3 linked regions of the Bombyx mori genome follow. The protein of the gene in region 1 purifies or fractionates together with the protein of each later gene. This does not show direct contact. Links are inferred from orthologs where the notes say so. Each region holds a gene or a part of one and is shown on either strand. Other genes may lie near its edges. The genes, in order: RPII140-upstream gene protein; evolutionarily conserved signaling intermediate in Toll pathway, mitochondrial; protein NDUFAF4 homolog.

Region 1 (5,333 bases):
TGATACGTTGAATTTTAATTAAACTTCCTCAATCTTCACTTCACCTTGCTCTTGGACTATTGTGTCATGATGTCTTGTCAAATCGTCGTGTTTGATTTTTGATGATTTCTCTATTGCTTGATTATAGTGATCAGTCCTATTGAATAAGAGAACAGTACATTAAAGCAGATATAGTGGTGTCATGCCAATGTTTTATATTTGTTACAGTCACACGCTAGTACAGTCAGATGTTGAATTCTGCACTACAGTGATTATGATTGACTATGATTATGAGTGACTCATTATGATTTTGAACAAGTGCTTAACGTTTTTTATTAGCATCCGCTAAGAATAGCTCAAATAAATAAATAATCATAAACCAGTTTAAAAACAATAATTTGCATATAGCCGACCTGACCATATGCTTGTGATTCCTAGAACTTATTATATTATTTTGATTTTAACTATACTACTCGTAATATTACAAATAACCTAACTGAATAGATTTGTATCAAATATTGCAGAGATTGTATTAAAAATACATCCTGGATTACCACATGGGATACTTTATATCATGGTAAATGACATGACCCTGCTAATGCCAGATATATCTAGATAATCTGCTATGGTAAATATGAAAATATGACTATGAATATAAAAATGGAATGAGTTTTAAATAAGCAAATGGCACTGAAAAAGTCTTTATTCTAGGACAATGCAATCTGTTCCATAATTTCTAAATTACAAATTTAACATGAATGAAACTGCAAGGCATATTATTAATAATAATAATAATGTTTTTATTGCAAGTAACCATGACTCATATAAATTGTTAATAAGACTTAGACCTATGTTAGTAGTTATATTTACATCACAATGAATTACTGTCGTAATATCCCATGGGAGATGGCACCACAGCGACCCATGTATACACAGTCCAGCCTGCTTGCGATCATGCTCAGGATACTGTTGGAGCTGGCCCTCACTTTGCTTACCAGAGATGCACACCTCTTACGCATGGTAGTGTAAAAACAATCTATGGCATAGCTAGTACTGACTAATTTTGACATTTTCTCTGAAGCTGTACTTGAAACTTACCTAGATTCTTTGATTTTGTATAATGCTTGTCGTATATCGCTCATACGAACACCAGTAATTTTTAATATTCCAATAATTAAAAGTCCACCTATTGTACTTAATACAGCTCCTAAAAATAAAGAAATATATAAATAATATGGTAACTAGTAGTAAAAAATGTCTGGCTGTTTCTAATCGTTACCTAGGGAACCACCAACAATCATAGCAGTCAATCCTAAATTTGCTTTATACAATGCTCCGGTAAGTGCACCTGCAGTTGTGTACTCGATGAGTGTTGTATCTCCACGATATGCAGATATTGTTGTGGCTATCAAACTGAAATGTTTCAAGGAACTTAACAAACATTCACGATTGACTTCCACAGTGCAGGAATAACATTATGTAATAAAAATCAAATCCGCAAAATTATAATTTGTTTAATTACCAGTGGTAGGACGTCTTGAGAGTACGCACGGGTAGGTACCACCACCCTACCTATTTCTACCGTGAAGCAGTATTGCATTTTGGTCTAAAGGGTGGTGTAGCTGGTGTATTCTTAAAAATGAGACTTCAGAACTCATGTTTCAAGGCGGTTGGCAATATTTATTTTGTAGATGTCTATGTGCTCCGTTAACCACTTAACATTAGGTGGCCCATGAGCTCGTCCCGCCATCTAAGCAATAAAAAAATGTAAATACAGTAAAATCAGTTTAATTTATTCAACCATTAGGTTATAATTATATGACTATCACATTTTCACATATTGCAATGTTCGATTATTATCATGATCAAACACTGTGATAAAATTTGACAAACAATTGTTAAAATGTAGTGTTATTTAAAAAAACCACTAAATGAGTTGTAGAAGAAATTGTTTCAAAAATGGCACAAGTTATATGTACCCTATAATTACTTCGGCATGAAAATGATATGAATTAGTAATGAGTACATTTTTTTTATCATTCAAAATTTTCAAGAAATAAAATTGGATCTTTGTTTTAGATATCTTCATTACTTATAACTAATACTAAAAGTATATGTAATACTAATGATAAATATACTTCCACTTTAACACATTTTGAACTAATGATGAAATCTGCAAGACTAGTGTTGACAATAAAATTAAATGTAAAATAGGATTAAGTAACAAATAGAATATATGCTAAGCATGTCAGAGATTTGATTCCTTGTGTTTACATGTACTGTATTTATATGTATATATGTATTGCTAATATTAGTCTTAATAAATTTACCTGAACATTCCTGTAAAAATACTTAATTTCCATCCCCACTTGTAGGCACCTTTGGCAAATCCAATTGTTACATAGTCTTGCAGTTTTTTCTGTAATCCATCACCAAGGTTTTATAAAATCATTATAAAAGATAAAAAATTAAGGATGTAAATAGTAATAATTTATATACAATATAAACTAATAATAATTTACAGCTTTCTAGGCAGACAAGCATACTGTAATCCTGTGACAGCATTCTACCAGGTGATCTGTAGCTGTATTAAGCAGGATATGGAGAAAAGATATTGAAGAACCTTGTACAAATTCTAGTAGATATTCTTAGAAATGTTAAAAAAGTTAATGAGTTTGTTTCCTCGCTGGCCACTTGTTACATGTTACCACTTACGCATAACACCTAATATAGTTAAAGTTACATCTATTGTGAATTAAAAAATAATTCAAAAGTGGGTTAAAATTAAGCGGTTGAGTGCTTGGGAGCATCTTTTTCTTCCTGAACATTCCAATTATGAATGTATTAATAAATTAAATAAAGAATAATAGGTAAGGATACAAAACATTTGAGTCAGCATCTCTATTTTAAAAACAATCATGTATTATGCAAACCTTTTACAATACCTTTGCATCGCCTACTGTTTTATAAGCGGTTGCTTGATTATTTTCAATAAAATACAAGTAGGCTTCTCGAGATGAGACAAATCCTCCGAAACAAACACCAACAAATGCACCGCACAATGTGGATTGCACAACTGTATGCAGTTCAGGAGAAACTTCGTCGAATTCGCTAAAATATTTGTTTATTTCATAAATCCCATGGATTCAGGCACGAAAATACCATAAATGCATAGTATTATTTTATTAGTAATTTTAAACATCAAATCTTAGCGAGTATGATTATTAAATAATATTGATGAAAAACGCAATTTTCTTACTTTTTTTTATACATGGCTTTAACCCGATCCCAGCCTGTCTGAGGGCCTCCAGGCAGAGGTCTGTTAAGGACATCGTAATCATTTTCATTTCTTTCACGAAAAATTGGTAAGACAAAACTTGGAGACAACCTGATCACCGTTCGGATCATTTCGACAAGATCCCTTTCCCTTTTTGATAACAACAGACAAGACAGACATCACTAACCAATCTGAACTTTTAACTTAATGATCTTTTTTTAAAGGGATTTTATGACTTGGTAACTAAGACCTTTAAGTCACGTATTATTTTAATTTATGTTCTTATTTTTATGAAAAATAATAAATAATATGAAGTGAAATGAAATGAAGATAAGTAATTTGATACATTAATCAACTGGGATGAAATTAAATGAAATGATATCCGATTTGAGAGTATATTCTAAAAAATTAGACCATCTGGCATCTCGGACTTCGGTAGGTAGTCTACCTATCGTAGGTGCGGATCGAGGCGTTCTTGGCCCTAAGGAGTCCCTAACATCGTCGGGCAATTGAAGCAAGTCCTCCGCTACAATTTGCTTCGATGATCTATCTAATGTCGAGGTGATGTGCGCCGTTACGATGTCTATGGCTTCAGCGGTATCCTGAGGGGATGGGGTAGAGTCTGGGCTGAACAGGAGCGATGGTGGATCAGATTCAGTTAGGCTGAAGCCCAGTGTGTGCCAATCCACCACAGTTTTCGTGACGGGAACCTAATCGGAAGTGCGACCAAGCTTTATAACGACGGGACGGTAGTCTGAGTCTAATTCTGAAACGACTTCGATTGAACGGGACCGCAGAGCTACGTCATGACTAAAACAAAGCCATTAGGCATGGTTTCTCGAAATCTTCCGGAAGGTCCGCTGAATTTTCAATAAATAATCACCAGTTTACTGAGACTATTTAAACACATCTCATGAACATGAAAATGTAATTTCATCCCAATTGATTACGGACTCAAATAAATCAACTTCACCTCATTCATTGCTATATCATTTTTCCTATAACTGAATCCTCATCCTCCTTCAGTCGATCGCTCATTTCTGAGCATCGTGATGCGCCCGCCTGTGACCTTTTTTTGTAATTTTTAGCCACTTATGTCGGTCAGTGGCACAGTGAAGTGCGTGGCTCAGTCTCATGTCCAGATACTCAGACACTTGGTCACTCCATCTTTTTCGGCTACGACCTCTAGATCGTCTTCCATCCACTTTACCCGTCACTATGAGTCTCTCCAGGTTGTCAGAGGGTTTTCTTGCTATATGACCAAAGTATTGGAGCACTCTATATAGACATTTGGTGGATAGCCTCTGGTCAACTTTTAGCTCAAAGTCAAAGTTAGGTCAAAGTTGACCAAAAAATAACTGAATATGTATTTAATAATTGAAGATTTTCATAAACTCATCGCTGGCAGCAATGGCATCCCAAAAAGCCGATTGTCATGCTTAAAAATAATAGAAAGAAGAGGATTTTAATAAATCATTGTGATAGTGACCCTCAATATATTTTATTCGCTTTTTGCAATTATACGAATACTTTAAAAAAATGCCTTTACCGCAATTCAGCATTTTGGTAAGTATCTACCTGTAATTCTAAAATCATATTTTAATTTTCTTTGGACATTTTTGTATCTAGAAATAGTTTGGACAATTAGGTATGTATAGTAACCGGCAAACTTTTTGAGCAAATGACTTTGACTGCGCAGAACCGAATTTTAGATCACTTTGGTGGTGGGGGTGAGGCGCGACGGCAGAGGAAACCGTATCGAGCGCGTTATTGGTAGATCAGACGAACCTTGCGCCCCGCACCGCGCCCTCGTTCCGCTTGCTCCCAAAAGTACGCTTGCGTACGGTGAAAAGTCTATCGTTATTCATCGTTATGTTATATTTTGTTATAATTGCTTGTTGACTTTGTTGCCATTGCTATTTGTTGACTGTTTGTTGATTTTTTTATAAAAATACACTATGCCGCGACAAACTTGTGTAGTATTCAAAAGAAAGGGTAGAAAAATTGTGTACGACGTATATTGCTTCATTATAAAACAGGGGAAGAATGATATGGAAAAAGTAAAACAGACTTCGGA
Region 2 (5,485 bases), on another chromosome or scaffold:
ACAAAAAATATAAACTCAGATTCTTATTTAAAAATGAATTAGCCTTTTATGAAAAAATGATACAAAAGTAATTTGACAAGTCAACTCAACTTTTTTCTAGTACTGTGAATTATCTATAGATATTTAAGAGTTTTCAAAAAGGTCATAGGTAGTGTATGCACAATGTCCAGTGATATATCATTCTATAAAATATATGATTTCAGGAATGGATATTCTCTAGAAATTGCTTTATTACTATCTGTATTCCTGGGAATGTTTGGATTGGATCGCTTTTATTTGGGATATCCTGGAATGGGTTTAGCAAAACTATGTACTCTGGGATTCATGTTCCTCGGACAGTTATTAGACATTATATTAATAGCTGCACAGGTATGTACATGAAACAATTTAATAGAACAAACATCGGCATAACTAATTAACAGAAATATTCTAACATAACAATGACATTATGTTGATTAAAATATATAAAAATGTTCTTTTCATAGGTTGTGGGACCTTCAGATGGGTCTGCTTATGTCATTCCATATTATGGTGCTGGAGTTACTGTTGTTCGGAGTGATAATGAGACTTACCTACTACCACAACCAGATTGGCATAACATCACCTGACAGTGGGGAACAATATCCTTCGAAGTTGATGAGGATTATGAGTGGACTTAATGTGTTTTTGTATTTATGTGATGTTGGACATTACATAAATTGTGATTAAGACATTTGTATAGATTTTAAAGAGTTACATCTCTATGTTACTATTGAATTTGACTTGTACATACATTTAATATTCAGAAAGTGTCACACATTATCTACTGAGTGTTTTGAATACTGTTAAATTTTATGTGAATGTTATTCGAAACGGAGAAATAAATATAAATTATACAAAGGTCTTTACTATATTATTATTATTATAACAAAACAAATTCAATTTAATTTTGCACTCTTTTTACATCTTCGGCAGCTGGCTGTGTTTCCTGTACTACAACGTCATTGCTAGGTGCAGTAAGAGTGAAAATCACTGGTAGATTTGATAGAACTGAATTGTCATATTTCTCTAATAATCTTATCCACGATAACAAAGAATCTCGTGATGATGAACCTGTAACAAAAATAGCTTCTTAATATGTAATTATGTTTATTGAAAAAGAAGTTCCTAAGCATAATAAAATTGTAGTTGTTATTTCAGTATTCATCTATACTACCCAGAACTGCCATTCTTTGACAGTATATTTCCAGAAATGTTGTTTGCAACATAACATAATTAACTTCCCACTAGCGTTTACTGAACTTCTATGACATAATTGTTCCATCCTTTTGCAAATGAGGTTTCGGGAGAATACTATATCGGTGTTATTGGATTTACTTTGATAATAATAACTTGGTAATTCTAATTCAGAAAGGCGAAACATGTAATATATATTATGTTCATAATTCATTACCTGTGGCACATACAGCTACTATTGTACCATCATCCTGCTCATGTACAGTACATTTAACTACGGGTAATGTAGTTTGACCAATAAAACCAGGTATTCCGGAAGGTTTCTTTAAATTTGATACATCTAAAAATTTAACCAGTGATATTAAAATAAGAAATATGTTAATAGTTTCATTTTTAATGGTGTCAGCATAGCACCAACTGTTTTGAACACATCAAAAATGATATGCATTAGGGAATCAGAATGCTAAAGCTAAAAAAAGTACTGGCTCTTTTACTTCTTAGGCCAGATAATAAACTGGACTACTAGTTACTAGTAGTTAGTACTACTAAGTTGCAATAAAAATTTGGTAATAAATTCATACCATCTTGGTCAAAGTCATCTTTATGTTCTGGTCTTACTTTACCCAATAATGTAAAGTAAGTGACAACTTGCTCCTTTAAATACACTTCGTAAGGTCCTCTTACAACAAGGGGCTCATCAGGGGGTTGCTCTGAGAGTAATATCTTTTGTGTTTCACTTTGGGCACTTACTATCCATGTTTTATCTATGCAAGCTTCAATTTCTTCTGTCTGACAAAAATTAGAATTGTATTGTATGTTTATATCAACTAATAAGTGTGAGAAATGATGGAAACTTTGTATTTTGCATTCATCGCACAAATGAGATTGACCATGGCCCTTCTGGCATTAAGTGGACACCGGTATGCATAAACATCATAATGTGTTTGAAATCACTCATCTTGAGACATGACGTCTAAGTCTATATTCCAGATTCCATTTAAAACGTATACTTTATGTATTACATTCTCAATAATTTATGAATGATATATAAAAATGAAAGGTTTTAATGGTTTAATTTTATATGCCAACAGATGTACAAGCCATCTAGTAGTTTAAAGACCAGAAAATGACAAAAGAAATACTTTATCCTGGGAAAAGTGAGCATATTTCATTCTTACTGATTAACGAATTTACTTCTTGTCAAACTGTAATGCATAAAGCAAATATACACCCTCCTTTAATTAAATGGGCTCTTAATTACAAATCACTAAATTTTGACTTATAAACATCTTTCACTATACAGTTGGTACTGTAATCATAACTAGAGAAATGAAAGAATTTTTCACCTGCCAAATTTCAATTTTCATAGTAGGATCAACGGAAGTTATCCGATGAATAGCCATTTTGGCAAGTTCTAATGTGTCATTCGGCAATTCATCTGGTAAATACCATGGACTTAGATTCTTGAATTTAGGCATCCAGTACAGCATGCGCCAAAACTTTCTAAGAGGTATGCCTCTTTTTCCAAAAACGTTCAATAACATTTGCTCTAGTTCACTGTCTGGCATTACTTCTGTGAATTTAATAAAAAAATAATTATCAGTAGTCATACCTTAGCAATTTTATGGAATAACGTAAATTTTAAACTTGGCTTGTGTATTATAGTGTTATTTGTAATGATTGTTAATATTGGCTGTTCAAGTGGCTATTTAGCTTGTTTGTGTACTTTTAATTGTATAATTGTCCTTTCAAGTGACACAGGATAAAACAACAGATTTATTACATTTACAAATTGTATTCAAATTTTTTTTTTTAATTTTTTTTTTTTTATTGAAGCCCAATACAAATTACTACCAAAGAGATTATAAGTATTAATGTTTAACATAACAATCTGATATCCATACTATTATCTTCCATCTGTTCAAGGAGATCCACAGCGCACTGCTGTTGCTTCGGATAGTGCATGAATTCAGCCTGAAATATATTTGACGGTATAAATTTGCCTTTGGGCAGTACGTCTACTAATGCTTTGTACGCTTGTAAGTCTTTATGCACACCAAATTCCTTCATTCTAGCTAAGGCGGCATAGATAAATTCGACGTGTCCTCTTCTTCTGTTGTCCTGATTTTCAAACATTTTGATTGCTTCCAAATATGTATCTTTATTTTTCTTTGGCTTATTAGCAAAAGGATCATACACAGCCACTTTTGTGTTTGAGCTTTCCCATCTTCTATACATAAAATGAGAAGACGGAAGTCGCAAAATATGTCTTAAAATTTTTGTAGCCATTGGTAGCGCTTATTGGTTATTGTTAAACTTGCAGGCCTTCATTAATTATTCAGTTTAATTATAGATTTGTAACTTAAAATAACAGCTATTCACAGTTTCAAATCGTTCTCAAGAAAGAAGATAATTTAAAATTTCAATTTGATTTTCAATTACATATTTTTCATAAAACTTGACATTTGATCAGTAGTAGTAACTAGTAGTTTTATTTTTTCAACTGGAAAGGCAAAAGTTTAATACCGTACAGCCTAATCTTAAATATATATCTATATACATTTTTTATATAGAAATGGTAGTATGAAGTGAAATGAAGTTGATTAATTTGCAACAATAATCAATCGACATGAATCAAATGAAATGAAATGAGATGAGATGATATGGGATCAAATATAATCTCAGTAATATGGTGGTTCTCTACTGAGAATTTGTTAGGTGGACTTTCTGGATCTCAAGAAGCTACGTCCAACGGCTTGTTCAAGAGCTCAGGTTGGTAAAATGTAGTCTATAGACTTACGCAAATGTAGTCATAGAGTACACATTTAAGGAACATTAAGGTCGAACAAAATACCAAGTCTGGTTACAAGTTCTGTCATGTACTTTTTTATTTTAAATTAGAGAGGAAATTAAAATTTTGTTTCATTTCTATCAATATCATTTTTCAGAGCATGAAATCTTTAAACATGTATTTTTCTATTGTCGGCATACGAACATACAACCCACTTTCTATCGCTCATGAATATGCTCAATCCTAGAGGGACAGACAAATTGTTTTCTAAGTGCTTAGGCTCTAAGCACTTTGAATAAAAGTAGTGATAATATTGTATATTTAGATTATTGTCTTTTAATGAATGTGTGTGTTGTCTCTGTTGTCGTTCAGTCTACAACAACTGAAATTGAAAATTTGGCGAAAATTGACCTTCATCATATTTCATATCTTAAAATAAAGACTGCGGTGTAACTCAGAAATGACTATTCAGTATTAAAAGAACTCTCAGGAGAACCAGCAATCTCTCTTTTACAAATTTAAAATTAAATTTTGTTAAAATAGACTTTAAAATTATACAAATTACAGTGAAAGTACAATTTGAAGATGAGTAACAGAAATATAATGAAATAAAAGCAAAGTCAAATATAATTTAAAATATGGTAGTTTGAAATTTTAGAGTTAAAAATTAAAAAATACAGAGTAACAAAAAATTTAATTCATTTCTAAACAGGAATTAAAGTTCACAGTTCAACAATTCTATGCAATACAATAATGCGCTTCTTTACAGATTCAGACACTATGCCAAAATAACATCATATATTATTAAAGTCACATCATTTTAATATTAAGAAAGTCACACGATGACCTCTATACTAAGTTGTAGTCTGAATTTCTATCATAGAGCAGTCTGCGTTTATGCTCTATGTTGTTCACAGTCATTTCAAAAGTACCAATATCCAGCACATCAGTCGGCTGTAAACTTCCAACGTATGTGTATGTTACTCTGTTTTAAAAACTTCTTCGTATTTTACGAAAACTCTTAAAACACTAAAAGTAAATGAAAAACGAATGTATGGTCGAAAATACATATAATTGCTGCTAGTTACACTTAATTAAATAATTTAGTGTAAATATAATATTACAAAATAAAATAATTACAAAACTTTAACATACAGCCTGATATGTTGCCCAAGATGTGTAAAAGTGCAAATTATTTTATTAGTGTTTTTCTCGTTATGGTGACTTTTACTTTTTCCGGTAAGTTTAATTTTTTAGTACTCACATTATATTTAATTTTACTTTAAGTAATTTATGTATTCGAAATTTCTTAATTTAATTTTGGAGGGAATAATTTTGAACATAAACCATGCCATCCCCATAGTGCCAGAACTATTGTAGGTTGAAACGAATTATTTACATTGTACGAGTGTGTAAACGTGGAACTTTTATCTTCATTCAAGGTTAGTCCGTTCAGTATTAAATAATTTTAAAGCGCCT
Region 3 (5,053 bases), on another chromosome or scaffold:
GCAGGCCCATATCGTGGGCTTCGAAGGCTAAGTACTTAGGCGTCACTCTCGACAGGGGGATGACATTCGGGCCCCACATTAAGCCAGTACGTCACCGAGCCGCGTTCCTTCTCGGTCGACTCTACCCCATGATCTGCAAACGAGGTAAATTGTCCCTTCATAACAAGGTGACACTCTACAAAACCTGCATACGTTCTGCCATTACATATTATGCAAGTGTATTGTTCGCTCACGTGGCCCATACACACATTAACTCCCTCCAGGTCATCCAATCCCGTTTCTGCAGGATAGCCGTCGGAGCACCGTGGTATGTGAGGAATGTAGATGTTCACGACGACCTAAATTTATTAATGAGACGTAAGTATCTTAAGGAAGCGTCAGAACGCTACTTCCACTAATTACTTATCCGACCGCGATGGGGTAACGCAAAGCCGACGTCGCCCTAAATAGGTATGTCTTGTCGGATCTCCGGATTCACTCTCGGAGCTTTTAGGCCTCTCAAGCACCGGTCACCGTTCTCGTCGAACTTTTCGATTATGACAAAAAGTTCGACGAGTGAATTAACCCATAGACACAGCCCACTGAGTTTCTCGCCGGATCTTCTCAGTGGGTCGCGTTTCCGATCCGGTGGAGATTCTGCGAAGCACTGCTCTTGCTAGGGCTAGTATTAGCTAATTCTCTTAGGTTGAGCCCGTGAGCTCACCGGTCCGGGCGTAGCTGGAATAGCCCCCTAGGCTACCAACGAATAGGTTGGGAAACGACGAAAAAAATAATTCAATATGGAAATACTTGCACAAAAACACGGGAAACAATTTTTTTAGTACAATCGCGACAAAACACTCAGGTCTGCTGAAGAACGACCCAATCAATTTTCTACTGCACGCTCCATTCTCTCTTGACTTTTGCTGGGACTTACTAAGAAGGAAACACCCACTGTGAAGATAAACTTTTGGTTTCAAGTACAATGATTTAAAATAGATGGTACTATATTTTTCTGCATTGTTTCTAAGCTGACCTACTCTTACCATTTCAAGGTAAAACAACCTTAGCATAAAATGTAGTCCACACGGGCAAAACTCCAGACAAAAAATTAACAGATTCTAATCGTGTGCTACTTATGATAAAGCTTTTAAGTAAAATAATATAAAAATAAACATCTCTATTGCTTACTGATAAACTACTGCCTATATACTAAATAAAACCTTTAATATTCATGAGCCACTTATTGTCTTACTTAGATTTACTATGGGATAAGTGAGCATTTTGAATGAGTCAATTTGAATAAAAATCTTTTTATGCTAAGAAATTCATTTTATTTATCACTGTCTACATACAACTAGAGATTTAACAAATAAATTAACAACAATTTTATGGTATAAGAAATTAAATTTGGTTGAATAACAATAGTTGCCATCTTTGAAAAGGTAGTTTACCTGGCACAATGATAATAAATCGAGGGATGAAAAGCAATTAGGCTTAAACAACATCTTTGTAGCTATCTTTACTAGAGAACCATTTAAAGTTTAAAATTTTAACAAAAAATGTCATAACAAAAAACTTCTTCAGCTATTTGAATGGCATAAACTAAATGAAGTTCAATTAAAAACAATTGTTTGTGAATAGATGGAGAAAAATCCCCTGATTCCGAATATGTATATAACTCAATATGAGCCTAAATGTTGCTTAAACTAAATAGCCTTTCTTTCACCTCTCAAAATGATTTCAACCAAAAATTAACATTGAAATTATGCTTTTGAGCTGTGGCATGTAGTATGTTGAAAATCAAGTCACTTGTAAGGTCTATAGTCTCAAGTGGCATTAGGCAATCACCTTTTAAAAAATTTTTGGGTTCAATTTAATGAAAAGAACATAAATGTTTTTGCTTAGCTTAGCACATTAATATTGTTTCCTATTTATATCTTTCTATCTATCTTTCAGCCTATAGGCGTCCACTGGTTTTAATTTTTGTTTCCTTGCATTTTTACTTTTATCTTTTATAAAATTTCAACTAGGTTTTATTTGATATTAAATGCAAAGGTTTTCATTTCAAAATGTAACTAAAAATAAATATTGAAATGTATCTGAAAAAAGTCAATGTAAGTAATTGCAATTTTATTTTCAGAACAAACTGAGATAGAACTTTGAAGTTTTATTTATATTTATTACATGCAAATGTTCCAAGCGGAATGTTTCAAACAAACTTATTTCAAATATTTTTGTTCATCTTACAAGAAATAATAATATTTATTAATCAATTTAAGCTTTTCAACTGAGTAACATTAACTACTTTATAAGAATGAATTAAAACACCTAACTTTTCTTTTGTCTTAATGTTTTAGCGTCCAACATACTGTTTTCTTCAATTGCCTTCTTTTGTGATTCGATAATTTCTTTTTTCAAATGAGCTGGTCCTGCAAACATTGCTGGAGTTTTCTTGGTTTCAGGTATATAAATTTCAAAAGTTTTAAAATATTTTAATATGCTTTCCACGTCTTCCAGCTTCAGTTTATATTCAAATGCTATTTTATCTGGACTAGCTTCTTTGCTGTCTATTTGATGAGCGGAAATAAAGGTCACTACTTGTCTAAGTGTAGCGCGTCCATATTTAATTTTTTCCGGTTCTCTAAATCCAAATTCAAAATCTTCGACTAATTTCCGGTCCTGAGGCAAAGGCCTTACCTCGCTTTGTTTTTTTCGTAGTTCCCGCGTAACGTCATCTTCAGACCGACCGTAAGATGTTACATAAACATCCTTCAGTCTATCGTCAAGCGCAGGATCTTTTTTATCTAATTTTTCGTCAATATTCGGGTCAGCTTCTAAAGTTCGTTTCAAATCTTCAATATTTCCTGGATATCTGGGGGCCGGTGTAGGTTTTTCTTTTGAAATCACACGATGAGCTCTGTTCTCGATGTTAAAAGCTTTGACCGGTCTTAATGCCTTCGCTACTAAAGCACCCATCTCAGATGGCTTTAGTTCATTTAATAATCTCTAAAGTTTTATGTTTTCATAAAAATATCATTTTAATTAAAATATTACTTGTTATTTCATCACAAATACAATCGCATAGAGGTTAGGCAGCATTTTGACATGTAAAAATGTCTTTGACAAGTACCGTAACTGTCAATCAGTTCTTTTTTTAAATAACTATTAAGCACCAGCACCTCTTAAGTGCTTATATTGAACACGTGTTATGACTTACGTACCTAAAGACCGTTATCTACATACATACATTGAATCGTATTTATTAAATGTACTAACATTTGAGTCTTGATAGAGCCTCTTTTAACGCGAGCCTCGATGATCCCTTCTCAACGGACTTCTCGGCAGGTGAAGGAGGCGTATTCGTAGCTCGTGTTTGTTTACTTAATACACGAGTAGGTGATGGACTGGGGCTACGTCCGAGCCTACGTCTGTTCTGTGTTAAATTTCCCTTTTGTGTCGTGTTAGAAGCTGTAAATTGAAATTTACTGCAAGTTTACAAAAAAAAATAATTTGACGGATTCTATCATCCTACCTATAATCTATGAAGAAAAAAAACAGGTTTGTTTATTTGTTAAATGTTACTAGCATTCGCGTATCTCTTCCTTGATTAGGTTTAATTTTTATTTATTTTTGGCACTCCAGTAACATTTTTGTCAAAGTACCAAAAATATACGACAGGTGGCGCTTATGTAGTTAAAAAGTGTTTCTAATATTATTATGTACATTGGCAATGAAATTATACTACATACTAATAACATTGAAAATCGTACCTGCATTAAAAAACGACGGTGTCATGTGAGCTGCGTAGCTAGGAGCTGTATTCGTTGGTATTCGTATGGTGCACCCCGGTGTCACTGTGACTGTTGAACTCAACTGTCTTCCTCGGTGATCATTAAATATACTACTCCGCATCAAAAAATTCTGAAAATCACAGAAACATTGATAATCTACCTTAATTATGTATGTATCTATTAAGCAACATAGAAATCAATTGATTGACCAACATAATGTACAGGCAGAATAATTACTAAAAAACCTTTCTTACCCTAGCGTCGTGTACATTTTTCACCATGTGAACAGGATACATTTCGTTTGAAGAAATACGATAGGTTGATTTTATGTTAGATTCCTTTAATTAAAACAGTTAATTAAAAGACGGAAATTTGCGAAACTGTGCCCAGGGTCGAAAATACTTACTTTACTTTTTACATTTGGCTGAATCGTAGAATTAGAACGAGCGCTCGAAGTTCGCGATTGAGGACGAGGAGACCTCGTAGAGACAGATTCTAAATCACTTTTTGGTATAATATCACTGGTGAAATCACTGTAACAAATCCATGTGACCTACGGTTTAATAGACACAGTACCCTACTAACCCCACAGTTCATTAAATATAAGTTCAGAAATGTGATTACCCTTTATTTTTTATATTATTTATCGATGAAATAGGTTTAGCTGATTTTATTCGCCCCTCGAGTTGTTCTTTCTTGACAGTCTTGTTAATATCTAAAATTAACAAAGTAATTTTGTTCGTTGTCCCAACATTTTCACGATGAAATGAGATGGATAGATATTTATTTTTAAAAAAATATGATATTAAGTGCATTTCATAGAACTTTAAATATAGATTAACACTACCTTGAATATAGTAATAGTCTAATAAAACACCAACCGTGTCTACAAAATTGCAGCAGTTGTTTAATTGATAATTGTTGGGGAAACACTTCGCGTAACGCACCGACAACTTCCATAAGCTATCATTGCAAATTTTAATACAAGGCTTGCAACACAGAAAGTTTTTCCAAAAATCTTTCCATTTATCTAAATGGCCATTATCGTTTTCGTCTTCTATTATGATATTACTTTTTATAATACAACCCTTCATTTGAGTCAATGGAATTTCAGAAGCAACTGTTAAATCGCACGACGTTAGAAATATCTCGTCTTCTTCGTCGCAATTATCTAGACGTAGAAAAATACTGGTCACAGACGTATAATTTATATAGTCCAGATAGTTAAGTAAATATATCAGAAATTAAAATCAATCTCTCTTAAATTTTTATTACAGATT

What was found.
Region 2: the proteins of RPII140-upstream gene protein (region 1) and evolutionarily conserved signaling intermediate in Toll pathway, mitochondrial purify together in Homo sapiens (affinity purification with mass spectrometry; 3 studies listed by BioGRID and IntAct, counting the BioPlex papers as one, with this or other methods). This does not show direct contact. The link is inferred for Bombyx mori from reciprocal best matches to the Homo sapiens genes TIMMDC1 and ECSIT.
Region 3: the proteins of RPII140-upstream gene protein (region 1) and protein NDUFAF4 homolog purify together in Homo sapiens (affinity purification with mass spectrometry; 3 studies listed by BioGRID and IntAct, with this or other methods). This does not show direct contact. The link is inferred for Bombyx mori from reciprocal best matches to the Homo sapiens genes TIMMDC1 and NDUFAF4.

What each region holds. Positions count from the first base shown.
Region 1 is NC_085128.1:11,905,355-11,910,687, forward strand, and holds the start of RPII140-upstream gene protein, read right to left. Parts: upstream 3,475-5,333; 5' UTR 3,388-3,474; coding exon 3,239-3,387; intron 3,091-3,238; coding exon 2,925-3,090; intron 2,399-2,924; coding exon 2,310-2,398; intron 1,393-2,309; coding exon 1,259-1,392; intron 1,187-1,258; coding exon 1,078-1,186; intron 137-1,077; coding exon 19-136; 3' UTR 1-18.
Region 2 is NC_085123.1:8,907,142-8,912,626, reverse strand, and holds evolutionarily conserved signaling intermediate in Toll pathway, mitochondrial, read right to left. Parts: upstream 3,712-5,485; 5' UTR 3,505-3,711; coding exon 3,120-3,504; intron 2,789-3,119; coding exon 2,562-2,788; intron 2,005-2,561; coding exon 1,797-2,004; intron 1,556-1,796; coding exon 1,433-1,555; intron 1,093-1,432; coding exon 923-1,092; 3' UTR 871-922; downstream 1-870. Other genes in the region: TM2 domain-containing protein CG10795, read left to right, coding at 204-369, 486-608; uncharacterized protein LOC101736860, read left to right, coding at 5,170-5,245.
Region 3 is NC_085126.1:4,813,249-4,818,301, reverse strand, and holds protein NDUFAF4 homolog, read right to left. Parts: upstream 3,259-5,053; 5' UTR 2,959-3,258; coding exon 2,311-2,958; 3' UTR 1,291-2,310; downstream 1-1,290. UniProt on the Homo sapiens protein: Involved in the assembly of mitochondrial NADH:ubiquinone oxidoreductase complex (complex I). May be involved in cell proliferation and survival of hormone-dependent tumor cells. May be a regulator of breast tumor cell invasion.